Linked DNA regions of Macaca mulatta. The protein of the gene in region 3 binds, or shares a complex with, the protein of the main gene of each other region. Links are inferred from orthologs where the notes say so. Each region holds a gene or a part of one and is shown on either strand. Other genes may lie near its edges.

Region 1 (7,084 bases), on a different chromosome or scaffold from region 3:
GTGGGGCTGGAGGCGCCAGTTCTGCCCGAGGCTCGTGGGCTGGAGGAGCCATCTCGGGTTGGGGATTATCTGAGGACACCAGCTAGAAGGGTGCAAACAATAAACAGTGGCGCTCAGCTGGGAGTCGGGGTGTGACAGGTTGCAGTAAGTGAAAGAACGAAAAAGGGTCTCAGAGAGCTGGAGAAGAGCAAAATAACCTAGCAAGTATTAGAGACTCCAGAAGGAGAAGGCTGAGGGCCTCTCACTGGCTCTCCAAACAGATAGGAGGTAAAGAGCCAGGGCTGCTAATACCTGGCCTGGGAGAGGGCTACAGAAACGGACTGAGGCCTGGGGAAGCTTGGAAATGCAGAGGGGACCCAGCCCTCGGCGTCTGCACCTCTTACCCAGGATACCACCCTTCCGTTGAAGCAGGGGAGGCGGGCGTTGTCATCTGAAATTTCTTCCTTCACCACTCTGCCAAGAGACAAGGTGGAGGTCAGTGAGCTGGACCAACCACCCCCACCCCCACCCCCATCAAAGTTCCTCCCAATCTTCACCCGGCTCCAGGATGCTGACTTTCTCCCGCCCTGTTCAGGTCTTCTCTTACATTGAAAGAACTCACTCTGACACCTAAGAAATCTCCAAACTCAATCCCCTTTCCTTATTTCTCCTCTCCCTAACGCACCCTCAGGGGCGTAGTGCTGCTCCAAAGACTTGACTGAGTCTGATTCAAACCTCTCAGTACAATTTCAAAGGCAATCCCCTATGCTGATGCAGCTGCCTAAGATACCTATCTAATGAGACTGGCTGGTAGCCTCCTCTCAAGCCCATCCCTGTTCCTTACAAACCTTCCAAAAAGGCCGGGCACGGTGGCTCATGCCTGTAATGCTAAAACTTTGGGAGGCTGAGGTGGGCGGATCACCTGAGGTCAGGAGTTCAAGACCAGCCTGGCCAACATGGTGAAACCTCGTCTCTACTAAAATATAAACATTAGCCAGGCATGATGGTGGGTGCCTATAATCCCAGCTACTCAGGAGACTGAGACGGGAGAGTTGCTTGAATCCAGGAGACAGTGGTTGCAGTGAGCCAAGACTGTGCCACTGCACTCCAGCCTGGGCGGCTGAGCAAGAATCTGTCTCAAAAAAAAAAAAAAAAAAACAAAAAAACCTTCCAAAAAAAGGCTTCGGTCCTCAACCAAGTCTCTACTTTTATACTTGCCTTTAGTTTTCACTAATTCATTTCCAGAAGACTGTCCTTTCTTGAGTAAAAACACCCATTAGAGGCCAGGCATAGTGGCTCACACCTGTAATCCCAGCACTTTGAGAGGCCAAAGTGGGTGGATTACCTGAGGCCAGGAGCTGGCCAACATGATGAAACCTTGTCTCTCCTAAAAATACAAAAATGAGCCCGGCACGGTGGTGCACACTATAATCCCAACTACTCCGGAAGCCGAAGTAGGAGAATCGCTTGAACTCAGGAGGCGGAGGTTGCAGTGAGCCGAGATTGCGCCACTGCACTCCAGCCTGGGCAACAGAGTGAGATTCCACCTCAAACAAACAAAAAACAACAAAAAACAAAACCACCCACCATTAGATCAAACAAACAATGGAAGCTCCTCATTAGACTGAAAGCTCCCAAGGAGAGAGCAAGCTGGCGCTCCCATTCCCCTGTGCCTCATCTGGCACAAAATTCGGCACGAAGCAATCTGCTCAGCCTGACAGATCCCAAAGCCCAGCCTTGGGGTCATCTCTCCAATGGGTTCCCTGTGGTGGACTGGACTTGCCCCTTCTTCTTGACCACGACATCAAACCATGAACACTTACTCTGATCAACACCATGTCCTGGCCACACACCACACACTGACACTTAGGCATTAACAAATACTGTCAACTAAATGAATAAACATATAAAGCATCAGACTCTCTGCCCTGGTTGTTTCTCTCTCTCTTTCCACACACACCCTTGCCGCCAAATTAGGACACCTTGTCTAATTAACCCGTTAGCCTAATATGGTCATAAGAGCCAGGATATATATCAACTTAATCCATTTGCTGTCAATGTGACAACACAGCCCAGTCACTACCAATCTGTGTCAGCATCATGTAGGATTCTTCCCAACATAACACAATCTCAGCATAGCTCAGTCCACTCTTAAGACAAATTACTGTGTATCACCATAACCTTTATAGAGTAGTCAGCCTCAATACTAATGACAATTACCATTCACCATGAATTTACCATGTACCACACACCTGAACTAACCATTTCATTCTGTGATTTTCTCCATGTCACAGACGAGATCAAGACACAAAATTTAAATTAATTGTCCAAGATTGCACTGCTGACAACTAGAAGAACCTTGACTTAAAGCCAAGATAACTCCCAAGATAGTATCACCCTTCCCATGTCAAACAATCTTTCTAGCTAGAGTCCAGTTTGTTCAGTTCTTCTAAAACCCATGCTATCTCAACTTAATCCAGCCTGCCTTCAAAAAAGCAGAGGTTGGGCTGGGCGCAGTGGCTCACGCCTGTAATCCCATCACTTTGGGAGGCCGAGGCGGTCCGATCATGAGGTCAGTAGATCGAGACCATCCTGGCTAACACGGTGAAACTCCGTCTCTACTAAAAAAATACAAAAAATTAGCCAGGTGTGGTGGTGGGTGCCTGTAGTCCCAGCTAGTGGGGAGGCTGAGGCAGGAGAATGGCGTGAACCCGGGAGGCGGAGCTTGCAGTGAACCGAGAATCAGCCACTGCACTCCAGCCTGGGCGACAGAGCAGACTCTGTCTTTAAAAAAAAAAAAAAAAAAAAAAGCAGAGGTTGAGGACCCAGAGAGGGCTCAGCCCCAAAGACCATAAACACAAAAGGGCTTTCTCTGCATTATTTACATGCCAATCTAGTCCAAGATAGCCCTGAATGTCCAAATTACCCTAGGATAGCCCAATCTATTCTAGCACAGCCTACAATGTCCCCACACGCAGCTAGCTGTCTGCACCAATATAGACTAGAATACCCCAATACAGCTACCTGTACTAGCATGGGCACCAACAGCCTTGTCTGCCCCCATACTGAGTGCTCCAATAAAACCATGTCTTGCCCCAAGATAAACCAGGATTAACCAATACAGCCCAGTAGAGTCCATAATGGCCCAAGTTTGTTTTGTTTTGTTTTTTGGTGTTTTTTTTTTTTTGGAGATGGAGTCTTGCACTGTCGTCCAGGCTGGAGTGCAGTGGCGCGATCTCGGCTCACTGCAACCTCCGCCTCCCAGGTTCAAGCGATTCTCCCTGCTTCAGCCTCCCAAGTAGCTGGGACTACAGGCGCCCGCCACCACGCCCGGCTAATTTTTTTGTATTTTTAGTTAGTACAGATGGGGTTTCACCGTGTTAGCCAGGATAGTCTCGATTTCCTGACTTCGTGATCCGCCCGCCTCGGCCTCCCAAAGTGCTGAGATTACAGGCGTTACAGGACTCCTGAGAACGTACTAAACGACCAGACGATAAATGAATTTACTCAGTACAGTCTAAAACACTCCAAAATAAACCAGTATGCCCCCACCTATTCCAGTAGAGCCTAATCGTCTCTAATCTGGTTTAGGATATCCTAGTCTGCCCGTGTGCCTCAATCTATCCAAGCATAACCTTGTCCATCCTGGGAGAGTCAACCTACCTCAGCATGGTACAATCTGCTCCACCACAGGCCAGAAAATCCTAGTGTGGCCCGAAGTAGATGTGTGCCCCTCCACGTCGCCCAATCCACTCTAGCAAAGCCCCCGTCGGTCCTATCTAGGCCTTGCGCTCACCCGAAATCCTGATCCATAGACTTGAAAAAGTACTTGGCGCCCGCGGGCCGCTGCAGGACGCTCTTGAAATCGCCGAGGGTGATGCGCTCGGCGGGGACAGGGATCTTCACCAGGTATGGAGTCTCTTCCTCATCCAGGTGGTAAATCACCTTCGTCTCCCCAACCCCACCGCCCCCAGCGCTGCTGCCCGCCATGGTCTCGCCCGCGCGCTCCCGGGCTCCACCGCCCACCCAAGGGGCTAATGGCCCCTGCCGCGCCTGCGCACACCCGCAAACCGACGAGCGAGCGCGGACAGGACGGACCCAGTACTGGAGAGAAGCAAAGGGAAAAAAGCAGGGGTCGGCAAGGGTGGCGGCGGGGGGCGGGCCGCGAGGTGCGACTCAAAGCCGCGGTCTCAGCGGCCGCCGCGCGCCACCGCCACCGACAACGCGAGCGTCCTCCAGGTCCCCGCCCACCTCTCCTCATGTCACGTGACCTAAGCCCGCCCACCCCGCGCTCTTCAGCCGCCCCCGTCACGTGACCCCTCCCAGTCACGTGACCGCGTGACTCCTCCTAGTGCCCCCGCCACGTGATCGCTGCCTTCGGCAACGGTCTCCCAGCCCCCAAAGGTGTACCCCAGCCGAGGTCCTCCGAGCACCCAGGATAAGCTGGCCTGTGCCCTCAGGAAGCGGACAGTCGGCTCCCACCCGGCTTTACCCCACACCGGCGGGAGCGCGAAGCAACTCTGACCCTCAGGAGTGTGCGTGCAGGGAGTGAAGGTGGGGATTGTGGGGGTTCCTAGACTCGAGTGGGGAGGGCCAAATACAATGAAAGCTCTGAGGTGGCTTACTCAAGTATCTTGGGGTGGGAGAGGCCCAGTGCTGTGCCATCTTCAGACTGGACTGTGAGAGGTGGCTTTCAGCACCACGTCCAGCTAGTCTTCAGCCACCAAAGCCTCCCTCCCAAGCAGGACAGTGAGGGCTATAAACACAAAAGAGCCCACTCTGCTTTATTCACAACACGCAGGCTGTCTGTACAAACAGCGGCCAATATTATTAAAAAGAGGTGAGTGAGAATCGTCACCTTTCTGCTTTCCTTCCTTGCTTGGCCAGGCTCTAGTACTCCACCTTTGAGCTGCCATGCCCAGTAGGGGAAGTCCAAAATTAAAAATACAACCGGTGTAGAAGAAAATAAATGGGGAGTGAAATAGAAGAAAAGATGAGGGAGGGGAGTGCTAATATTTACACTAGAGTTTTATAGACAACTGTCCCATTCCATCCCAATTCCAATCCTGACCCAGAAAGTGATGGTGGCAGGTCCAAGAGACAGAGATTATGTGTCTAGAGACACAGACAGCCTCCCACCCGCAACCGTAATGGGTTCAATTTCAAGTTCAGAGTGGGGAGGACGGATAGGGTAGGAAAGTGAGACACTCATTTTCAAACAAGTCTCCCTTGGGAATTCCTGCCTTGAAGTGCGGACAGTATCCAAGCTCCAGGGGGTAGGCTGAGGACCCTGAGGCTCAGTTCCCAAATCATGTTATCATTTGGAAGTTCCAGGCTAAAGTTGGTGCCGTCAGGGCTCTCCAGATTTGGGAGGCCCCCCTAACCGCCGGGCCTCTGGCCTCAGTTCCTTGCATTTCTGGCAATAAAAGAAGTCAGGGACGTTGGTCTTCTTAATCTTAGCACAGGAGAGGTGGATCCACGTCCCACACAGGCTGCACTCAATCATGGGCCGCCCTGCAAAGGGCTTTCGACAGTAACACGTGATCAGATCCCATGAGTCATCACCTGGGGAAAAAAGGTTTGTTTGGTATTCTGCCTGAGCAGTTGTTGGATCCACAACACCCTCAAACCCCTCGCCCCAGCCCAAACCTCTCACCTGATTCTACCATGATGTCCTCATCCATGACCCGCATCTCGCCTTCACTGGAGCTGGCATCTCCATCTTGGCTTGTTTCAGTGCTGCCCACCTCCTTGCTTTCACTGTCAGTAGGAGGGACTCCTTCAGGGTGCACTGTGGCAGGGGGCCTAGGAGCCTCGGGGGGTGTTGGGAGCACAGGGGCTGGGGCTTCTCCCCCTACCACTGTTGCCATCTCTTCCTCTTCTTCCTCTTCCTCTTCTTCCTCCTCCTCTTCAGAGTCTGTATCACTGGGGGGTGCCTGGGGAGGCCCAGGAGGTGGGAGTCTATCCCCCCGTTCTGCCTTTTTTAACTTCCGCTTCTTGCTCTTCTTGATTCGAGATCTCTTTTCCCCATCCCCAGGAGTTGGCCGAGGCCTCCGAAGCACCCCAAAGCCAGCCCCAGCTCCTGGCCCCAACTTTCGGTTCTTTCGGTCCTTCTTTCGAGGAGGATGGGAGAGGTCCCCCTGGGAAAGGGGCACGGGGGTAAGAGCAGCAGGGGGCCGGGAGGTATGTGTCAGGGATGTGGGGGACAAAGGAGATGCCACCTTGGGCCCATCGAGATCAAAGAGAGAGTCCTTGAGCTTCATCTTCTCAAGCAAGGTAGCACTGTCGGGGGCCTGCAGACGAGAGAAAGTGGACCTTGGGGGTCCTGGCTGGGTGGGACCTGCTTGGGCTGCCCTTCTCTTGGATGACTTTGCTTTCTTAACAAAAGTCTGGATGGTTCGAAGATCTGAGGGGGCCGAGTCCCAGCCATCACTGTCGGCCGCACTCTCTCCTCGCAATGGAGAGCTGGAGCCAGAGGCGGGCCAGTCACTTTCCTTAAAAGGGGAAAGAGTCCAGGGTCAGCAGAACCCCAGTGTCATCTCAGCCCCTCCACAAACCCAGCTTGAAAAGGAGTGACTAGATTTACCCCAAAATGTCCTCTACCTCAACCACTAAATCCCACTGTACTCCCAAAACTTCTCCCCACCCCAATTCCCATCAGCATGTCCTCCTGACCACTCCGTGTTACCTCCACCTTCGAGTCTTGATACCTCACCGCTGCCCCGCCCAGGGCCTGTGGAACACGGTGTCCCCCAGACCAGAGCCTTATGTCCTTAGCTCTTTTTCTGTGTAGCCTCATTTGTTACCATTTTCATCTCCCTAAAATTTATCCATAAACACCTTCTATTCACAGCACCTCAAGACTGCCAAAATCTCGACCAGCAACTCCAGATCCCCCTTGCTTTTCACTGCTGTTCAAGCTAGCTAGCCCTGCCATCCACTCCCTGCATACCAGCTTTCCTACCACAGTCCTAAGAATCTCCAACTTCCCTCTAGTCTTACATATTTCTAGGGGCTTCCTCCTATAAAGCAGTACAGTTCTATGTGAACAACAGCCACTCTCTAGTCCCACGACACGAGCCTCAAGTCAGTAATTCTCTTGCCC
Region 2 (7,049 bases), on a different chromosome or scaffold from region 3:
AAAAGCCCTTAGTTTACTGCTCCCAAATATAAATCCAACATTTTTAGGTGTAGAAAAATAAGAAACTGTGCAATTAATAGACTAGGAAGTCAAATATCATTGCCAGTAACTAACTGCTGTCTGAATTTCAAGGGAACTTATTGTATATTAAAGTTTAAGAAAGTGAACTCACCTACCCTCTCACCTCAGCACTTTCTCAATTTTCCCATTACAATTAACAATATAACTCAGCAGTGAAGTCTTCCAGGCCAGTAACATCAGTATTTATTTTTAACTCTTGACTCCTTCACAAATATTCCACTTCAGTCCAGTATGAAGTTCTGCCAGTTCTTCATTCACACTGTCTCTCAAACCTGTTCCTTTCACCCCATTTTCACATTTTACTTTAGTCCCTCATGATTCACAACATACCCTACTAGCTCCCTAAAAAGGCTCTAGCATCTCTCTACTATAATTCATTAATTCAACTGCAAAAATCATCTTACATCTTGTTCAGCAGCCAACAGTAAATCCAGATCTCTTTTGAATCTCAATCAAACTTTTACAGAATCCCTCTGCCCTCCATCAGCTAACTTTCTTTTATTTCTCAAATTCCATTTGTTCTTATGTTCTTACGTAGGCCCCTTTAACTCCGATTTGCCAACTTGATTATTGCCTCTCATGCAAAACTCATCATCTTTGTGCCTTGGTACACTCCTTCCACCTAGACCTTTCATGCTTTTCTACCAGTTCAAGTTACCACGTCCTTTAGTATCAGTCTTAATACCCCTTGTCCGCAGGAAGTCTTTCCTCTCCCACCCATCAGTCTCACCCTTTTACTCTTTGCCCCTCTGAACAAATGATTCAATTTGTATTTTACAATCTAGCAGTCATCATGCTATTGTTTTAATTTTTTTCCCATAGCCTCCCTCTACAACCAAATAAGCTTTTGAGAGCAAGGACTACAATTTCTTATGTTTCTGTTTTCAACAGGGGTTCCTTAGAATGCTAGCATCCTAACAAATGCTTAAAGACTCCCCTTTCTTTTAAATGTTTTTAAAGTCAAAGCTGTCAAAAACACATAATTAACACTAAACTCCAACTTTTTAAATTCTAAATTGACCTATACGGTAATCAGAAAATAAACATTTTCATCTATATATTTTACAAGAGTTACTCCATCCTTAGTATCTGCATTATCAAAAATTCAAAAGTCATTTCAAAGAAAATCCTGGAAAGAAAATGAAAAGTCCCAAAATGTAGCATTATAATCTAGCATTATAGATCTCTGAAATAAAGCTAATAAATCAATTAGCTGAAATTGATTGACTGGTTTTCAAACTATATTACCAAGATGTAAAACATACAAACACTCCAGTACCAACAGAGGCTCTTAAGTAGTTATTATAAGATTTGTATCATCATAGCTGAAAATTACCCCGGAATTTTAAAATATTTTTCAAATGACTCCATGAAGCGCTTAGAAAGCACGACCCTTCCCTGAAAGATGCATAATCAGCTGTCCTCTTTTCCTACCCCGGCATTCTCTACTTGCAAACCACCGGGGGAAAAAAAAATTAACTTTGAAAAATAATCTCCCATTCAGCTATTACCTAGACTACCCTGTTTCAGGCTAGTTCCCAAAGCCAACACGAAATGAAATCTTGAGTTCAACTAAAAGTGATCATTTTATGTTGCCTAAGAATATAATCAATTTCACATAACATACATGTTTTTTGTGTGTGTCAGTTCTTAAAATCTCAGTTCTTTAGTTCTCTCCGTTCTTCTAAGCAACACAGTAATTTCTTTGCCCTCATGATGACCCTCTTTCCCACAATAAGGAAACAACATAGATATTTTTGTTAAATTCTGAAAGTATGTTTAAACAAGCTGTCATTAAACACCACATGAACTTCTCCATAAATAGAGATACACTGGAACATTAGATACTTAGTATATACTAAACACTTCAAAAGCATACTTCTCAGCACAAACCCAGGACAAGAGTAGTCTATCTACAACCCTGAACACAGTCCAAATATCCCTATTATTTCCAGGACCACAGCCATCTGCAAAAGCCAAAATGGAAAGGACTAAAGCCACATTCTTCTAACTAAATCCACAGTTATCTAAATGTGATGGAAACTAACGCAAGAGTATTTTAAATCGTCCTTTTTAAGGAACCCTCCAGAACATTTAACAGGAGCGCAACAGTACTCCAAAATTGAACTTAAATGTAATGAGCCAGTGACAACATTTAACTTACTATTTGGCACTATGACAAAACAAATCTCAATCAAAACCTGGACCTATTAATACTTCTATGTTACCTTTTGATTAAATATAAATTATACGGTGGCAGGTTGGTAATGTCAAAACAGGAAGGTTAAGAGAGAACACATCAAACCACTAATCCAATCGAACACAAATGCATACAGAGATGCTACTGCTGCTGGGTATTTATTGGCTCCCACTAGTCCCTTCTAAAGAGAGAAATCAATGACAGCCTCCAAATGTGAATGGTTACTGAGCAAGTTCATCCACAGATTAAGAACAAATACTATGTGTAGTCATACAGACAAGAAAAAAATGTTGGGAGGGTGGGACGTTTAATGTCTCTATTAAGTATACCAAACTATGATAAATCCTGAGACCTAAAATACCCTCTTATTCCAAAAGACATACATTCTGCAAATGTGCACAATGGTTTATTAATCAAATCTTGTCCTTCTCTTTATTCTAAAGGATGGGCAAGTAAACACGGTCATCACTAACGTGGAAACACTCAAGCACTTGATGAAACTCACTACCAACAGCAAGAAAAGTATAAGAAAGCAGTTTCAAATCGAATCATCCAAATAAAAATCATATTATCTCAATTCAAGGTTAATGAGACCGGGGGAGGGGGTATGGGAGGAGTAAAGAGGGAGCTGCTTCATCCTTGACTGAAGATAGGTTTTGCCCTTTTCCATTGCTTGTTTGTTATATTAGGAAGTCTAATATTTTCAGATCCTGGTATTCCGAGATTTCTTATTTTAAGGGCGAAGTGGAAAAGGGGCGTAAAATAAAATCAATACTCACTGCTAACTTTCATGCTGCCAAAAGCTGAAGGCTGCTGCACCGGCTTGCAGCTCTCCGCAAAGGAGGTGGTTCTGGGCCGCCCTGACATGATCACTCTCTTCGCGAATCACCTTTTCCTTCCTTCCTCCTTTTCTTCCTTTTGTCTTTATGTTGGGGTGTTAGGTTAATGATAAATGCAGCATTAAGTTCTCCCACAGAAGAAAAAGAAAAAGACTTCGTCCTCTTGGTTTTTCACTCCTTTTGTATACTATAAAAAACAAAACAAGCGATGTATTTCTCCTTCAAGACAGATCGGCACGGATATTTAACATATAGATGATTTACGGCTGGGGAAAAAATACAATTCCTTCCCCTCCCTTTCCTGGGAGGAGAGAAAAGAAGGGGCAAATCCTAAAAAAATATGTATCACGTGAAACAGGGGCAAATACTTGATTGAAAATGAGTACTTCGAATATTATATTTTCCTCGGGGATTTTTTTTCCGAGTCAATGAAGAAGGGAAGCGGCGGAAGGATCACGAGTCTCACGCTTGAAGAGAAAGGGGGATGGGTAGGAGGGAGGGAGAGGGAGGGAGGGGGTGGCTCGGAGATGCGACGGGAAACGCTGCAGCTCCGGCAGCCGTGGGATCCGGCGGGCTGACGGCGGGGGCCCGGCGAACTGGAGGGCGGCGGAGTCGCGAGTCAGTCAGAGGCGGGCGGTGGCGGCGGCTCCTCTCCTCATTGCGCCAGGAGCAGCTGCAGGCGGCGGCTGGATCCAGCGGCCATGGCGGCGGCGGTGGCGGAGGCAGCTCCCTTCAGACCCCAGGCAGCGGCTCCTCGACTGCTCCCCATACGCCGGGGACATGGGAACCCGGCAACCGCTTCCGTCCCTCGGGGCCCCCTCCCCCGTCCGCGGCAACAGCTCGGCCGCCCTCCCGCCCCTCGCCTCTGTTCGGTGCCCGCTCAGGAAGTGTCCGCGCTTTGCCCCCAGCCCAGAACCCTGTCAGCGGCTGCGGGGCCGGCTCCTCCTCGCTTCCTTCCTTCCTTCCTTTGTCACTCGGCCCGGGCGGCGGCGGCAGCGGCGGCACAAGCCCGCATTCGCCCGGGTCAGGGGCTGCTCTGTGTGAGGAGCGCTGTCTGCGCAGCCGCCTTGCACTTCCCCACTCCCCCTCCCCCTTCCTACTCTTCCTCCACCTCCTTCCTCCCCCACCCAGCCTTACACCGCCCAGCGCACCGCCGCCCGCGTAACAGGCGTCTGGGAATCGCCGCCCGAGCCCCACTCTCGCCCGCTTCGGCTGGGAGCCGAAGCCCGAACGGAGCCAATCACGGACGTCGTTTGTTTGCGGCTCCTCCCGGAAAAAGCCGATCGGCCTGAGAAACCAATTAGAAAGTGACGCTGGAAAGCCACGCCCAAAGAGCGGAAAATGCCGAAGGCAGCCGAACGGAAAGGGTGATTTCGCCTTGTTCGGTGGCTGGCTGGAGGAGACATTCGACAATGGCAACAGTGGCCAATCAGAGTCGCCGGCCCTCACGAAAAAGCTTGAAGAGTTGAAGACGGTGAAACCCAGAGACGCTGGTGAAACTGCACGGTTGGGCGCCGCCGCCGCTTTGTAATTGGCTGGAAAACTCCGCTGGGAGCGTACCTCCCTCGGTGATTGGTGAAGGGAAGGGGGCTTCCGAGGACAGTTTGGCCAGTCAGGACTTCCCCTCCCTCTCCAAGGTGGGGAGAAGAAAGCGAAGGGAGGGCGTCTATAAAGCGCCGTCTCATTGGCCGGAAGCTTAGGCGCTGGAGTTGGGGCAAAAGGGAGAGGGTGGAGCTCGAAACTCGCGGCGGTGGCCAATCGGCTCTCACTGCCGTCCAATCGCAAGACTTAGCTGCAGTGTGATTGGCCTTCGGCCTCCGTCCCAGGACCTGGGAGATGCCCGACTAGGGTCGTGGCTGACGACCCGACGGCTCGCCTGCGGCCTCCAACTACGGTGGAAACCGCACATAGGGACCGCCTGCCCTAGGCGCAGCAAATCGGAAAGTGCTGCGGTCGGCGGCGCTGGGTTCTAAGAGCTCAAGCGAGCAGAGGGGTCGAGGGGTTCTCCCCATCCACAGGAGGCTCTCGGCGGGGCGCAGCCAATTCTGCGCGCCTAAGGCTCCCCTCTGCCCTGGATCGCGTGTGCCGGGTGTCGGCCTCTTCCCCGAAAGGGCCTGACGGACAAAGGGGGCCTTCCCAGCCGGCAGCAAGCTCTCAGACGCTAAAATGGGAACAAAGCTTCTTTGGGCGGCCGCGCCCCGCCCAGCCTCGGGGGCCATTGATAGAGAGGCCCGCTGCGCTTGGTGTGCGCGGCCCGGCCGGGCCTCTGGAAACGCCCATGAGAAATGAGCTCATGCTGGATGCGCGCGCTCCTTGGGCGCAACTGCCCAGCGCAAAACGGGCCCCGAAAGCAGGTGAGGGGAAATGCCGTCAGGCCGGATATCCTGAAGCCTCCAAGGAAATGGGGGGTTAGAGGAGCCCGTGGTAGTTTTGGATCTTTTGGAATTAGGGTGATCTATAAAAGTGCAGCTTGAATAGATTTCATATGTAAGACCAGCGTCCATTGTTCTACGATAGAACCAGTTCCTTTGGTCTGCTTTAGAACAGTGAGGTATGGCTACGTCAAGAGAGAGAAAGTAGAACAGACAGTTGCCATCCTGATTGTAATCCAGTGGTTCCTGTAATTTCTACCTGCAGAATCATCTCTTTCAGTTAGGATACTGTCTCCAGAAAGCACAAGTAAAAGGACCTAAATTTGATCAGATTACCTGGCTCTTGCTTTGAAACACTGATGAAGGACTTGGGACAGAACAAAGTAAGCTTTGATGGAAGACAGGAAAGGTCCAGATAGTGTTTGCAGATTCAGATGGCTATAGAGGCCAGACAAGTAAAGCAAATGAGTGAGACTGGCCTTGTGTAAGACAATGGGGAATGATGGGGGAAATGGCAAATTGGAATATCCATGCCATAACTAGAAGGAACAGCTGCTCAGCTCTAGCAGATTGTTGCCCTCAGGAATGTGGGTCCAGTGTTCTCAGATGTTCAATTTTTTTTCCTCCCAAAAGAAATCCCAAAATTGGATTTTTGTGTGAAATCTCTGTATTTTTAAATGTTGATAACCGATATTTCAAACCCTGCAGACCAACCTAAAAACATCCCTTGGCCGATGAGGCCAACAGGCAGTTTGTAATCACAAACCTGAGAATAGGTTTTACAGCCTAAGAGCGGTAGAGGTTCTTGTTCTTTGCAATGAAAAGAGCATAAGGTCACTGGATGCCATGGGTGAGGGTAAAGAATGTTAAAAGCAAATTCAATTCGGCAACCTTGTCATCTGTGGTGCCTCTCCATGCTGTTTATTATGAAAGACCTTTGCCGCTGTTCCCTAAAATGCTGTGAGGCAAAACTTTAAATCGTGCCTACCTCTTCTATACTTCCCGTCCCTACTCCTAGTTATACCAGCTGGAAAATAAATAACAAATGTTTAAGTTATACAATTTGGAAACATGGCTATTCTCTTGTATGTAATAGGTATGGAAATAGTCTTCCATAAGGATATGATTAGCAGCTTTACTGTTGCTGCCTTCAATATTTTCAGCTGATGCTATTTTTAAAAATCTGACCAAGAGGAAATTTTATAGGGGAAAAAATGTATATTTCAATCTAAAATGAGGACTTGAGGAAGGAGAAGCTTATGAGACAATACAAAGCTATTGAAACTAATATTCAGTAGTTTCTCTGAACTTTCCAACTGTCTCTTTCCTGCTTGCTGCCAACAATTTATCAGTTTATAATAACTAATAGTTAATATTTATTAGGTGTTCACAATATGCCAGGTGGAGTTAAATGCTTCACACAAAATTTCCCAGTTAAATTTATAAAAATTATATGAAATAAATACCATTATCACTTCCAATTTTAAGATGAGAAAACTGAGGCCCAGAAATGTTTCCTAACTTACCCAAAGCCCATGAAGTTAAAGAGGCAGAACG
Region 3 (6,545 bases):
GCACTCCCGCCGCCCGCCTTCCTCTGCGATCTCGTCCTGGGGAAAGAGATGCAGCAGTGGTCCCTGGTTTTGGACTGAGGTCCCACAGGGTGCCTCCTGCTGGCCTCAGGCTGCCAGCAAAGGGTGGGGCAGGCCTGCAAACACCTGGGGCCCCAGGCCCCACTGCCCCCCCGCCCCAGCATCTCAATCTGGGGTCTACTCCACCAGCAGTGGAGTCTGACTCCACTCACTGGCAGCACAAAGGTCTCCCCGCTGCCTTACAGCCCCACCCTCGACTGGACAGGGCCTGGCCACTGGGCGCACTGTAGCTCTCACCTCTAGGATGGCAGGGCAGGCTGCATGGCTCCTATGCCAGGAAGACCTACGGCCCCCAAACCTTAAAAACATCTCAAGGGCAGGGATTGGACAAACAGAACTATGCACGATTTCTGGATGAGCCTGACCCCACAGTGAAGTCTGTCCCAGGACTGTTGCGGGTGCGGCCAGCAGGCCCTTCAGAGGGGGTGGGGCTGGCACCGTCTCCTGCCCAGGCTGAGCTGGGCCCTCCTCTTACAGGGGCTGTGCTTCCACTCACACCCTCTGCTTGGCTCCCCTGCCACCACCTGTCCCTCAGATGACTCCAGAAGCTGCCCCTGGCCCACTGGGGTTCAGGCCTCGGGCCTCCTGCTGGCTGCGTGCACTAGAGGCTGCCAGAGCCGACATCATGGCAGGAAGGCCTCACGGCCACCTCAGCCAGGTGACCGTCCACTTCGCACACCAAGGCCCCCACCCACCTGCATTCTTGGACTTTCTCCCAGAGCCACATCCTTGCAGCCCCCTGGAGCCAGGCCCATAGGAGAATGAGCCAACATGTGGGGGCTGCCCCAAGGACGGGTGAAGGCCCCTCCAAGACCCCCTAGAGGATGACAGCCACAACAAACCTGCATCTGGGGCAAGCCTGGTAATGCCTGGGGGACCCCTGTTCTCAAGGCCCCTTTTGGGATATGCCCCTCCTGCCACCTTGAGCACACAAAGGCGCCACTGACACAGCCCATGTGGGATCACGTGGTATGGACACAGTAAGCCTTTCTCACGGGCTCGGAGTGGTCAGCACTGCAGGTGGGAGCAGAGCCCTGACTCACGGACTGCACGGACTGGACAGACGCACATAGTTGAGACCCACACTGCAAGCTGACGCACCTCGCGCACCTAAACACCTGCAGCCCCGACCCTGCTCAAGCCAGGTCTGCGGGGACCAGCCAGTTCCAAGCCGGGTGGGGCCAGGGGCAGGGGTAGGTCTCTGCCCCACAAGGGGCCTCCCATGACACCTGTGTGGATACAGGGCTGGCTGTTCCCAGGCCTCCAGCCGGGCCTGTTGGTCACTTATCGTCATGCTGGACAGTCAGCATCTCCTCTGATGGAGACGGGAGAAGGCTCTTGGGCAGCTTGGAGTCTGATGCCGTGGGACCCTCTCCTGCCACAGCTGCTTCTCAGCGTGGTACCTGAGCTCAGGCCCCAGGACGGCGGCTCTACCATGGGACCTGGCTTGAGACGCCTGGGCTGGGTGGGCAGGACCAGGAGGACCCTCAGGACGCACGTACTCTGTCTCGGAGAGCTCCATGTCCGACACGGCTGGTACCACGCGCAGCACTGGCGCGCACGCTGGCCTGACGCAGGCGCGTCCCCGCCGCATAACCTCCTGCACATACCTAGGGAACAACCCGCGTCAATGGTGGCTGCGCCGGCGGCCACCAGCCCTGGGGAAGGAGCCTCGACCAATGCTGCCGCGCAGGGACAGACGGAGCATGAAGGGGCTGTACAACCTGCCCCGTGAAGGCTCCAGTTTGCAGGGTGGACAAGACACCAAACCCCCTCCTAGGCCTCAGTGGTGCCAGACACTGCAGCACACTCCACACTCACGATCTGGGTACCAACCCCCCTGTTCCCCAGACCGCACTTTGGGGAGCTTCTGATCTGGGGTCCTGGGATCCTACCACCTCATCCCCTCTGGTGGGACGCCATCTCCTCCCGAGAGCCTGTCCTTGGGTCTCTGGCATGAATTCCCCACCAATGGCGTGGACACTGGCTCTGGGGTGTGGCAACTCTGTCTGCACCTCAGGGAGGCTGAGAGCCCCCCGGCGCCACAACTGAGGCCATCCTGGGGCAGCACGGCAGCTCCTCTCACGTGGACACCTCCACCGGGGTGCACTGGGCGACCCTGATGGTAGTTTCTACTCTACAGCCCGACAGGGCCCAGCACCCGACCTGCCTCTGGGCCTTCACTCCAAGTCTCCACAGCTTCTCGCAAAAACGTGTCCCCTGGACAGACAAACCCAGCAACTCTGGGTTTCCCCACAGCATCCAAACAGGGGCAGGAAGGTCGTGTCTCAGAACGGCGGCAATGGTTCCACGGCTCAACGGGCATCCCCTGCCATCATGTAGGGCCTGTGGGTGCCCGGGGAAAGGGCAGATGCAACTCGAGAGACCCCTGCTCAGCCCAACAAGGGGGCTCAGGAAGCCCCAGCAGGAGAGAGCACACAGGCCCAGGGCCTTGAACCTGCTGCACATGATGCCCACCCCCGGCTCATCTGCCAGCCCGGTCACACGCCCCAGCTCCGAGCACCACACACCAGGCTCCTGCATGGCACGGGGCTCTGGCTCCTTGTTGGCTGAACGAGATCACAGGGTCACAGACGTTTGGCCATAAAGTGATCACCCTTTGGGTTTGAGGTAACTGTGACCCTCTCTGGCCCCAGAGCTGTCATTAGGCTGAAACTTTAATGACTTGAGACCACACAGGCTTTCGGCTGGGAAGGGTCTGAACCCTGATGCTGGTTTGGCAGAATAGGGCCCCTGGCCCCAGCCTCCCTGGAGTGGCACAGCCCCAAAGCTGGAGGCCCAGGAGGTGGGCCTGGACCCCAGGCCCCAGGTGACCCAAGGTGGACAGGAGGAGCTGGTGACCTCTGAAGGCAACCATGGCCTCTGTGACCACAGCCCCAGGGCCTGCATGAGCTACAGGCTCCCAGGACCCTCACAGAGACCCTGATGTGTGAGGAATTCCAATGACCCAGGATGGCCGAGAAAACTGGCCTCAAGAGCAAAAAGCTGAAAGTGGAGAAGGCAGGTTCTGGCCTGCAGCAAAAACGCTGCCGGAACAAAGGAGCGGCCTCGCTGCAGCCCAGGCAGAAGCCAGCCTGCTCTGGGGAGAGAACAGGGTCTGGCTACTGGGGCCCAGAAGGCCAAGGAAGGCTTAGCGAGGAGGGGCTGGGGGCTGGACGTCCAGGATGACAACTCTACATCTGCACAGGTTGCAGACCCACGTAGTTTTCCAACCGCGTAGAGCCACTCAGGGCTCGTGGGGTGCGATTGTCAAGAGGCAGCCGCCATGCCTCCAGGACCCCTGCCTCAAAGCCCAGGCTGCCCAGCAGTCAGCAGCCTCTGGCTGGGACCAGTGTTCCCCACACACTGGGGCCCTGCAGACGCGGCTCAGGTTCAGGAAGGACCCCCCTCCACAAGAGCAGTGAGCACAGAGGCCTTGGGTGTGTGAAAGCTCCGGCCCCAGCCCTCCGTCCACCGCAGGGTCGCCTGCCACATGGCTCCTCAGTGGTTCTCAGTGGAAGGAAGGGCCCAGTATGGCTGGGCGACACCAGAGGGCCGTTTTTCCCCTGAAGACCTCAGGCCTTGGGGAGCTTCAGCCCCAGGAATGGTGCTGTGGTAACTCCCAAGACCCACCCCACCCCACGATGCGGCCGTACCTCTGTTTGGAGGGTGCCCGGCTGGCTCTCTTTTCTTCCTCCTCCAGACGTCGGCGCGCCTCCTCCAGCTGGGTTAGGGGGTTGGGAGCTGGGTGGGGTGGCATCGTGGGGTCTTGGATGAAGAGGTGGGAGGGCTGCACGGAGGTCCGGAGCTGAGGGCCGGCCCAGGGGTGCACGGCCGCGGGGCGCTCAAGGGACAAGGGTCTGGAGTTCTCATGGGGCTGTGGCTTCCTTGTCCCTGAGGACCTTGGGGAACAAGAGAACAAGCTGTGGCTGTGGCCAACACCCTGGCCAGGTGGCCTGGTGGGGCTACACCCATCTCACAAGGGCAGCCTCCTTCAGGGGTAGGATAGGATGGGCTACTGGGGCCTGGCCACCAAGACACATGGATGTCCTCCTCAGACCACACAATAAAAACATCCCGGCCGGGCACAATGCCTCACGCCTATAATCCCAGCAGTTTGGGAGGCTGAGGTGGGCGATCACCAGAGGACGGGAGTTTGAGATCAGCCTAACATGGTGAAACCCCGTCCCTACTAAATATACAAAAGTAGCCGGGCGCCTATAATCTCTGCTACTCTGGAGGCTAAGGCCAGAGAATGGCTCGAACTGGGGAACTGGAGGTTACAGTGAGCCAGGATCACGCCACTGCACTCCGGCCTAGGTGACAGAGTGAGGCTCGGTCTCAGAAAAAAAAAGACAACAAAAAACCATCCCTGATTTGCCTGTAATCCCAATCCTCTGGGAGGCCAAGGTGGGCGGATCGCCTAAGGTCAGGACTTCAAGAAGAGCCTAGCCAACATGGCGAAACGATGACTCTACTCAAAAAATACAGAAAATTAGCCAGGTGTGGTGGTGGATACCAGTAATTCCAGTTACTCGAGAGGCTGAGGCAGGAGAACTGCTTGAACCTGGGAGGCAGAGGTTGCAGTGAGCTGAGATTGCACCACTGCACTCCAGCCTAGGAAAGAGTGAGACTCCATCTCAAAAAAAAACAAAAAAACCAAAACAAACAAACAAAAAAAACTGGCCAGGCACGGTAATCCCAGCACGTTGGGAGGCCGAGGCGGGTGGATCACCTGAGGTCAGGAGTTCAGGACCAGCCTGGCCAACATGGTGAAACCCTGTTTCTACAAAAATACCAAGTTTACTGGGCATGATGTTGGGTGCCTGTAATCCCAGCTACTCGGGAGGCTTAGGCAGGAGAATCGTTTGAACCGGGGAGGTGGAGGGTGCAGTGAGTTGAGACCGGCCTATTGTACTCCAGCCTGAGCAACAGGAGCAAAACTCCATCTCAAGAAACAAAAAAGGCTGAGCGCAGTGGCTCACGCATGTAATCCCAGCACTTTGGGAGGCCGAATCACAAGGTCAAGAGATGGAGACATCCTAGCCAACATGGTGAAACCCCATCTCTACTAAAAATACAAAAATTAGCCGGGCGTGGTAGTGCACGTGCTGTAGTCCCAGCTACTTGAGAGGCTAAGGCAGGAGAATCGCCTGAACCCAGGAAGCGGAGGTTGCAGTGAGCCGAGGTTGTGCCACTGCACTACAGCCTGAGCAACACAGTGCAACTCTGTCTCAAAAAAAAAAAAAATCCTTTCATGGTGACTTTTTTCTTTTTTTGAGACGGAGTTTTGCTCTTGTTGCCCAGGCTAGAGTGCAGTGGCGTGATTTCGGCTCACTGCAATCTCCGCCTCCCGGGTTCAAGCGATTCTACTGCCTCAGCCTCCCTAGTAGCTGTGATTACTGGCACCCGCCACCACACATGGCTAACTTTTTGTATTTTTTTTTAGTAGAGATGGGGTTTTGCATCCATTAACATTTGCATCCATTTAACAGCTTTACTGGGATATAAATTATATACTAATCCTAGGGGCCGAGGCTGCAGTGAACTGTGTAATTGCACCATTGCACTTCAGCCAGGGTGACAGAGAGACTCTGTCTCAAAAAATAAAAAAAAGTCTTAATGAATAAAAATTATAAATATGTTTCAAAGTAGAACGTATTAATACTTATCCTAAAATATGGGACATGCAGTATTTAGTATATACAGCTATATAAAAAAAGGATTCGGATGGGCGCAGTGGTTCATGCCTGTAATCCCAGCACTCTGGGAGGCCGAGGCGGGTGGATCACCAGAGGTCGGGAGTTCGAGATCAGCCTAACATGGTCACCCCCTCCGCTGTCTCTACTAAAAATACAAAAATCAGCCGGGCGTGGTGGCACACACCTGTAATCCCAGCTACTCAGGAGGCTGAGGCAAGAGAATCGCTGGAACCCGGGAGGGGGAGGCTGCAGTTAGCCAAGACTGCACCACTGCACTCCAGCCCAGGGGGCAGAGCTAGACTCTGTCTCAAAAAAACAAAAACAACAACAACAAAAAAAAACGCCAGGCGCGGTGTCTCACGCCTGTAATCCCAGCACTTTGGGAGGCCAAAGCAGGCGGATCATGAGGTCAGGAGATCGAGACCATCCTGGCTAACACGGTGAAACCCCGTCTCTACTAAAAATACAAAAAATTAGCTGGGCGTGTGGTGGGCACCTGTAATCCCAGCTACTCGGGAGGCTGAAGCAGAAGAATGGCGTGAACCCAGGAGGCAGAGCTTGCAGTGAGCTGAGATTGCACCACTGCACTCCAGCCTGGGCGACAGAGCGAGACTCCGTCTCAAAAAAAAAAAGATTCGAAGGCCAGGAGTGGTGACTCTCATGCCTGTAATCCCAGCATTTTGGGAGGCCAAGGTGGGAGGATCGCTTGAGACCCACCTGGGCAACACACTGAGACCCCTATCTCTACAAAAAATGAGCCAGGCA
Region 4 (7,246 bases), about 42 Mb from region 3:
TTACAAACTTTTACCATAACAAGTATGCATATCAAAAGACACTAACTTTAAAATGGTACAAAAAAAGTGAAGAAAAACCTGAATTACAGAAAGGAAAGTCAAATTTATTTAATGAAAAACTAAAATTAATAAAAATTAGCAAATACACACACAAAAAAGCACACAGCAGCACTATGTATTGACTCACAAAGGGGAAAAGCAGTGGCCCATGACCACTCAAGATGGCTTGTCAGTTAAAGGAGAAAAACCCAAACACGCACACACCCACGCACGCACACACTCCCACGCAAAAACAAAACAAAAAAACTATTTTTCAACAATACAATCAATCTACAACAAACACAAAACTCAGAATTATTTTACAATGCTTCCTTTCTTAATACAAAAGATGCCCATCTTGGGTGTATATACATATATTTTTTCAGTGGTTTACTGTTGACTTATTTTTAAATATATTAGTGTTACTACATGCAACTGTTTCCTGTATTTAACAGCCTTTCCTTTCATTTACCTTCATGTGTCTAGCTTCCACCTACCAAAAGAATTTTAGGTTGGCAGGCAGATGGGTGCCTTATTTTCTGTGAAACTGAAGTTTTAAACACTGGCCAGAAAATGTTTGATTGCCATTTCAACACATGGAAATAGTTACATTGATGCCTAAATTGCCATTTTCTGCAAAAAGCTGTGCAATGCTGGTGTCAAAGACTAGGCAGTCGCTATTCATAATGGCTGTTGCAATTCCTTCATGAATAGATCGAGGAGTCGCTTCCCAAGTCAATCGTCGCCTGTGACCATTTAGCTCAAGTCGGTAAGCAAAATTTTCAGCTTGCTTGCGTGTTCCTATCAGCTGTACAATTGCAAAGAACTGCTGGTGACCATCGTATTTTTCCTGTTTCTCCAAGACTAACATGAAGTGAAAGCCAAAACAGGACTGCATCATCACCCAGTCAACAGCACCAGGAAGATTAATGTCTGTAGCAAGGAAAACTATATCCTCTCCCTGTAGGGTTGTAATGGACTTATGCTGATGCATCAGATGGGGCATTACAGCATCCAAAGAGCCTTGCCATTTACAGGAAGCACCAGGGCACGGACAGGAATAAGGCCTAAACTCACAGAGCTCTTCGTGGTCTGCTTTTTCTGTGTGTGGCAGAGTTATTTCACATCCAGAAGAGGCATATTTACAGGGGAAAAGTACTGAATTAGCCACTTTCTCCATAGCCAAGTTGCGAATGGATCCCAAAGGGCCCCGGCAAGTTGGACAACATGTGAGCTTTGGGCGACAGTTGCTACAAACAAGATGGCCACTCTGACATTGAAGAATGGGTGGTAACACATAGTCAAAGCAGACTGGACACTCAAAAAGACTCGCCAAGTCATTGTTGGATGCAGTTGTGCCAGTCAGGGCAGGTACCCTCTGGGATGGTGGACACTTCGAGGTACCAGTAGGTAATGCTGTAGCAGTCTGACGGCTCATTTCTGAAATAAATACATAAGGAGGCAGGAGAAAAATAATTATAACCATGACTTATTTTACAAATAATGTTTACATGCCAGAAGTACTTTTAAAGTTTCATGCAAAATTTACTGAGCAAAAGAGAAAGAAAAATAAATAGAATTTAAAAAGTAACATACTAAAAAATAAAATTACACTGAATGTGCACTTTATTAGGATCTGTACACTGGATAAGCTCTCTTTTCAAAATATTCCGGAAAACATTTGGAACTCCCTTAATCGTCTTTGGATAGACTACATGGAATAATAAATGCTAAAATAGAAGATGGACCATAAACAACTAGAGAAACTATACAAGGAACTGAAGTTTAATCGAATCCGTTTTGCTAGGACTCTCTCCCTGAGACTCCCTTACTCTTATTTCTTTCTAATTTGGAGTCAGCTATTGATAGGTATAGGGAGTTACAGGTGAAGTCCTGGATAAAATCGGCACTCTGTATTCACACGGTCTGCATCCAAGGACTTCACCACAGCCATGGATTGAAAATATTCAGAAAAATTTACAAATAATACAAAATTTTTAAAATACAGTCTATAACAACTATTTACGTATTATTTACATTGTATTAAGTAATCCAGAGATAATTTAAATTATACAGGAGAATATGCACATACATATACGACACCATTTTCTATCAGGGACTTGAGCATCCTCAGGTTTTGGTATGGGGAAGGGGGTCCTAGAACTAATCTTCCGAGGATACCGCGGGACAAGTGTAGTTCCAATGCCAAAGAATCAGAGAACCTTCCATTAACTCTTCTTAATGGTAAGCCATTATCTACTCTAGAGGTGTACTTTGGGAATGAGGGGAGGGGTCACAAGGGGAAAGGTCTGCTGCCATCCCATTATCCATCTTTACCTAATTAAGTCTTCCCCCCAAATTATCATCAGCCAGGTATTAATCTTATTTCTTACTGATTAGTGCTCACCTCAAGAGTGAGGGGATGTACTCGCTAGTGAAGGTAGCAAAAATATAAAAATAAACACACAACAAAGGTGAAGGGAGACATAGGAGAAATGGAGGGCCATCTCAAAACTTTTTAGTCTGGTAGAGAAAGTACATCTTTCTGTTCCACTTTCAATCCACAATATGTATCAGACATAATGAACAAAGGAGGAGAGTCAGGAAGAGACAGTGAAAAAGGAAAGAATAAAGATGATAGCACGGCAGAGATAATATACCATACTGGGGGTGGGGGATGAAGTCAACAGGTGAAGAACCCCTTGCAGCCTAGGGTTCTCCAGCGTTGCTGAAACATTCATCAGCAGAGTAATCAACGTTATTTAACAAGTAAATGTCATCTGGAAGAAATAATCGACAATGTAACTAGTCAAGCTGAGTCAAACATAAAACAAGCAACTTTTCCCAGGAAGCTACCTGGGCTGGGATATTGCAGGCCACTATTTGTCTTGGGGGTGGAAAAAAAGATCAGTCGATGTCCTAAGAGTGCACTCCTAGTAACTCTACTAAGCCATATTCTTTTTTTTTTTTTTTTTTTTTTGAGATGGAGTTTTGCTCTTGTTGCCCAGGCCGGAGTACAATGGTGCCTGCTCACTGCAACCTCTGCCTCCCAGGTTCAAGCAATTCTCCTGCCTCAGCCTCAAAAGCAGCTGGGATTACAAGTGCCTACCACCATGCCCGACTAATTTTTGTATTTTTAGTAGAGACGGGGTTTCACCATGGCTGGTCTCAAACTCCTGACCTCGTGATTCCCCGGCCTCGGCGTCCCAAAGTGCTGGGATTACAGGCATTGGCCACTGCGCCCGGCCACTAAGCCATATTACAAAATTAAAGCTTCAAAATTAATGTTTTAATTCAATTATAGTCATTATTCTGTTGCAGGGAACTTTTAAGAAACAATGTTGGTTACCAATGTGACCAAGTAAATGCAACTTGGTTTCTAGATTACCCAAGTGGTTACCAACTGATAGCTTAAATGAGGGCTTAGGGTGAAGGAAAAATAAAGATTAATTCCACATCACTAAAAGGATATTTTAAAGTTCAAGAGGCAACAAAAGTGACAGAATTCCATCATAATGTGTCTCATCATACGGACTCAGAACATGAATCAACTCTCATCTGAAGCCCAGTGTGACCCAGGTGTTCTGTCCCCTGACAAAGGACTATAAAGGAGCTCTCCTGTAATCCAGTTTCCCTCTGAGTAGATTCTTTGTACATATGACATCCATTTTATGTCACTTGTAAAACAGTGGGCTCAGTATTGCCAAAACACCCTGGCTGTATGCTGTATGCCTACTGCATGGTCCAGTTTACTTCAGTAAGCAGCATAACAATTACAAAGTGGTTCCTTGGGCACAAAACAGTCTAGTCAACCAATGCCTTTCAGATTACTAAACCAAACCAAGGAATCACATCCAAGGGCAGTAAACTCAGTTTATATTTAACACAACATAGCTAGAGACCGAGAAAAACACTGTTGTTCACAATTTCTTGACCTAGCAATAGTTATACATTTATCATCAACAGTTCAGGCTCACAATACATCTTTACCATTTTCCAAACACTATAGAAAGCACATTTTAACTCCTATTCAAAGTGTGAAAAAGAACTGAAATGTGAACGGTATTTCTTGTGAATGGAGGTATTACAGGACAGCAACTGCTAAAGCCTCTCAAAGCTCCAAGGGTGGAACCCAGCTCCATCTTGAAACAGAAAAGGAATCCCAACCACACAGCCGCCCTGCAGTAGGAACTAAGGACAGCCCTGCAGAAGTCATGACGTAACCTGAAGTTTGATTTAAACATAAAAAAGCACAGCAACCCAAATGAAACATGACTGAGAACCTCGGAAACGGCTGGATTCTGCTGCAGCCATTCCCTAAGCCAGACAGGTTCCACTGACTAATAGCGTTCAAGCTTCATAGCCTCAGCAACCTATCCTCTTAATGTCAATACCTTTTCTCTTCCTTGTCCTGGCCGCTGGTAAACATGTGAACAAGACTCCCCTCCAGGAGTACAGAGAAGGTGGAGTAGCCTTTCCCGTCATGAGAAGTCAGGCCGCGCATTGCGTTTCCCCCAAGAAGTAAAGGAACAGGCCCCTCCTGGGCACTTTCTGCTCCTAAGCACAGAAGACCCAAATTCGCGTCTGAGGTCAGGATCCAAATATCCATTTACTTCTCAGAAGCACGAGTTACAGAGGTGGAGAAAGGAAGCCTTCCCATCCCCAGGAGGCAACCACACCTCCCTGTGAGCTCAAATTCGGCTGCATCTCCAAAAATGGGAGCCACAGCTGCGCTGTCCTCCAGTGTGCCCTAAGCTTTCGTCTGTCTCCCAAGTTTGTCTTCTCCAGATTCACTCCGTAGGCTACTGCCCAGCTCCCCAGCTCCGGTGGAGGCCGGGGATGCAGGGGGCGACGCGCTCACTGCGAAGGAAGTGCGCTCCCTGAGCCAGCTCAGGGGCTACTGCAGAAGCCTGCCTGCTGGAGAGCCATTTGGAGCCTCGGCCGGGGCTGGGCCTGCGTTGGGAACGCCCACTCCAACCCGGGGCGCCAGGGCCAGCTCAGGGCGCGCAGCGCGCAGGGCGGTGCCCGTCTTGCTCGCGCAGGGGTGGGGCTGTGCCCGCAAGCCCCGCCCCGCAGCCCAGGGCGGGGCCCCGCCACCCCGCTGTTGACCCCATCCCACCCCAGCGACATCGAGCCTTCCTCAGCATTTCCACCAGTTTAAAATTAGGTAGAACCATGCTGTTTTCGGTAGGTCACAACAGTCGAATATCGGCAGTTTCTCACGGTTCGATCTAAGAGCTACAGCGTATCTGGCGTATCTGGGAAATGCGTGCCCACACCGGCGCTACATTCCCGGTTCATCGTGCAAACTTAATTTTTAGAGTGAAAACATTCTCCTTAATTCATTCAACAGCTATTTACCGGGCATCAACTACCATATTTACTCAATTCTAGCTCACTTCATTTCTACTCCTATGGGCACTATATTTTAAACTCTCCTTCCCCGCTGTGAAAAGACTTCGCAGGAAAAGTTGTAAGCACACTTCTGCCACATTAAACTCCTACTTAAACCTCCTAAGAGATTATACTCTTCCCACTCTGGGAAAGCCATCTTAAATGGCCTCATTAAACACAGAGTAGCTTGTTTTGTTTTTAAACAAGCATTACCCTTGCCCCAATAAAGTCCTGGGCCTCAGATTTGCATTGCATCAGCTAGTGCGTGCAGAGGTTTAACCTGTCATTACATCATGCTTAGGGCAGCCTCCAAATGCAGCAAGAGCTGGCAGTGAGGAGTGAACCCAATGCAAGGAACTGCAGATTACCCACTTTCAGCAAGAAATTTTAACTCTACCCACTTCCTCACTCTATTAACAGTGTGTCCAATCACCTCAACCTCATTTTACAATACAGGCTACACAAAACAACATTAGGAAAAGAAATATAATTGAAAATAGACACAGTCGTGCCAGAACTATTTTTTTTTTCTTTTTTCTTGAGACGGGGTCTCACTGTTGCCCAGGTCTGAGTGCAGTGGCACAATCTACACTCACTGCAGCCTGGGTCTTCTGGGCTCCAGCAATCCTCCCACCTCAATCTCCCCAGTAGCTAAGACCACAGGCTGACACCACCACTCTCGCTAATTTTCTTTGTATTTTTTGTAGAGACAGGGAGTCCCCATGTTGCCCAGGTTGGTCTCGAATTCCTGGACTGAAGCAATCTGCCTGCTTGGCCTCCCAAAGTACTGAGCCACTGTGCCCGGTCTGTATTTTTATTTTCTAATATTTATTCATTCAACAGGTCTTAAATTTCCCTAGAGAAGAAAATTTCATATATTTTAGAGAAACTTCCACAGAACTATGAGAGAACCAAAATGTATACAACAAAAAGATGACTGATTATTTCTCAAGCAAAAGATATTTCACTGTTTATCAAACTCCAAAAGATCTGTACAGAGCCTTACAGCACACTCTGAAAACCACTCATCTATAGACAGGCCCCTCTACTTAATTAAGTTAGAAAAGTGGAAGCATTCTAGAGTCATCTACACTTGGATTCAAACCCAGGCTCCCCTAGTTATTCAGCTGTAAAACTGGACTGTTTCCAGACTCAAATGGCTTTTGTCTAGATTGAGATGGGTAATTTATGTGTATCACAGGTGGTACATATTCCAGAATATTTAAGTTTAGAGCTGAGACCGGATTTAATTGCCAAGTTATCAATTAGAAACTTAGAATTTGTAGATTCCAAGACACACACTCCAAAAGATGCCTTAAGCTTGCAAAGGTGATCAAACATGTCTGCCAAGAATCAACCACCATTTAATTTTTAGCACAATAAACCTTAATTCTCAACTGGGTAGAATATTTATTTACACTAGTTTTACAAACCGCTGAAAAGTTCACAGAAGTACCTTAAGACAAGCCCACAGAATCCAAAAACTGGCAAAAATCCCAAACTTAACAAGAATGCACTATTACCGATACTTTCTAAAGCCTACGTCCCAAGCCCAGTTTGGTATATAGTTTAAGTAGATGTCAATCTAAATAAAAACATTTTAGAATCAGCCTTTAATGTTGTCTTAGTAATTTCAGAGCATTCAGCCATTGATTTACCATGCATACTTAACAGTAGAAAGATAAACTTTTATTCTCAATTCCACGTGGCAATCTTTGTTTCCTTTTATAAATTACTTATAAAAGTTTAAAATGGAGAAATGTAGTCAGATATGGAAAAAAAAGCATAATATATTGTAAATGAAGTTACAAAT

The links.
Region 1: the proteins of AXIN1 (region 3) and DVL2 are in contact, whole or in part, in a crystal structure (PDB 6JCK), measured with the Homo sapiens proteins. The link is inferred for Macaca mulatta from reciprocal best matches to the Homo sapiens genes AXIN1 and DVL2. Residues at the interface, in NP_003493.1 of Homo sapiens: Arg821, Tyr823, Lys825, Lys826, Glu830, Phe831, Val835, Val836, Phe837, Glu838, Glu839, Lys857, Glu859, Asp862; in NP_004413.1 of Homo sapiens: Lys15, Ile17, Tyr18, Glu23, Glu24, Thr25, Pro26, Tyr27, Leu28, Val29, Val46, Leu47, Gln48, Arg49, Pro50, Phe81, Arg84.
Region 2: the proteins of AXIN1 (region 3) and GSK3B are in contact, whole or in part, in a crystal structure (PDB 4B7T), measured with the Homo sapiens proteins. The link is inferred for Macaca mulatta from reciprocal best matches to the Homo sapiens genes AXIN1 and GSK3B. Residues at the interface, in NP_003493.1 of Homo sapiens: Glu384, Pro385, Gln386, Phe388, Ala389, Glu391, Leu392, Ile393, Arg395, Leu396, Glu397, Val399, Gln400; in NP_001139628.1 of Homo sapiens: Ile228, Phe229, Val263, Asp264, Leu266, Val267, Ile270, Lys271, Asn287, Tyr288, Phe291, Lys292, Phe293, Pro294, Gln295, Ile296.
Region 4: the proteins of AXIN1 (region 3) and SIAH1 are in contact, whole or in part, in a crystal structure (PDB 5WZZ), measured with the Homo sapiens proteins. The link is inferred for Macaca mulatta from reciprocal best matches to the Homo sapiens genes AXIN1 and SIAH1. Residues at the interface, in NP_003493.1 of Homo sapiens: Pro378, Lys379, Glu380, Val381, Arg382, Val383, Glu384, Pro385, Gln386, Lys387; in NP_003022.3 of Homo sapiens: Cys130, Pro131, Ser154, Thr156, Leu158, Asp162, Ile163, Val164, Phe165, Leu166, Ala167, Thr168, Asp169, Val176, Asp177, Trp178, Val179, Met180, Asn272.

The regions. Positions count from the first base shown.
Region 1 is NC_133421.1:8,716,731-8,723,814, forward strand, and holds the start of DVL2 (segment polarity protein dishevelled homolog DVL-2), read right to left. Parts: upstream 4,255-7,084; 5' UTR 3,970-4,254; coding exon 3,776-3,969; intron 454-3,775; coding exon 384-453; intron 83-383; coding exon 1-82. Other genes in the region: PHF23 (PHD finger protein 23), read right to left, coding at 5,330-5,544, 5,636-6,473.
Region 2 is NC_133407.1:163,631,200-163,638,248, reverse strand, and holds the start of GSK3B (glycogen synthase kinase-3 beta), read right to left. Parts: upstream 4,163-7,049; 5' UTR 3,149-4,162; coding exon 3,061-3,148; intron 1-3,060. UniProt on the Homo sapiens protein: Constitutively active protein kinase that acts as a negative regulator in the hormonal control of glucose homeostasis, Wnt signaling and regulation of transcription factors and microtubules, by phosphorylating and inactivating glycogen synthase (GYS1 or GYS2), EIF2B, CTNNB1/beta-catenin, APC, AXIN1, DPYSL2/CRMP2, JUN, NFATC1/NFATC, MAPT/TAU and MACF1.
Region 3 is NC_133425.1:1,502,336-1,508,880, forward strand, and holds part of AXIN1 (axin-1), read right to left. Parts: intron 3,981-6,545; coding exon 3,735-3,980; intron 1,689-3,734; coding exon 1,581-1,688; intron 37-1,580; coding exon 1-36. UniProt on the Homo sapiens protein: Component of the beta-catenin destruction complex required for regulating CTNNB1 levels through phosphorylation and ubiquitination, and modulating Wnt-signaling.
Region 4 is NC_133425.1:43,774,465-43,781,710, forward strand, and holds the start of SIAH1 (E3 ubiquitin-protein ligase SIAH1), read right to left. Parts: upstream 4,710-7,246; 5' UTR 4,525-4,709; coding exon 4,434-4,524; intron 1,480-4,433; coding exon 629-1,479; coding exon of another isoform or gene 526-628; 3' UTR 1-525. Other genes in the region: LONP2 (lon protease homolog 2, peroxisomal), read left to right, coding at 526-645. UniProt on the Homo sapiens protein: E3 ubiquitin-protein ligase that mediates ubiquitination and subsequent proteasomal degradation of target proteins.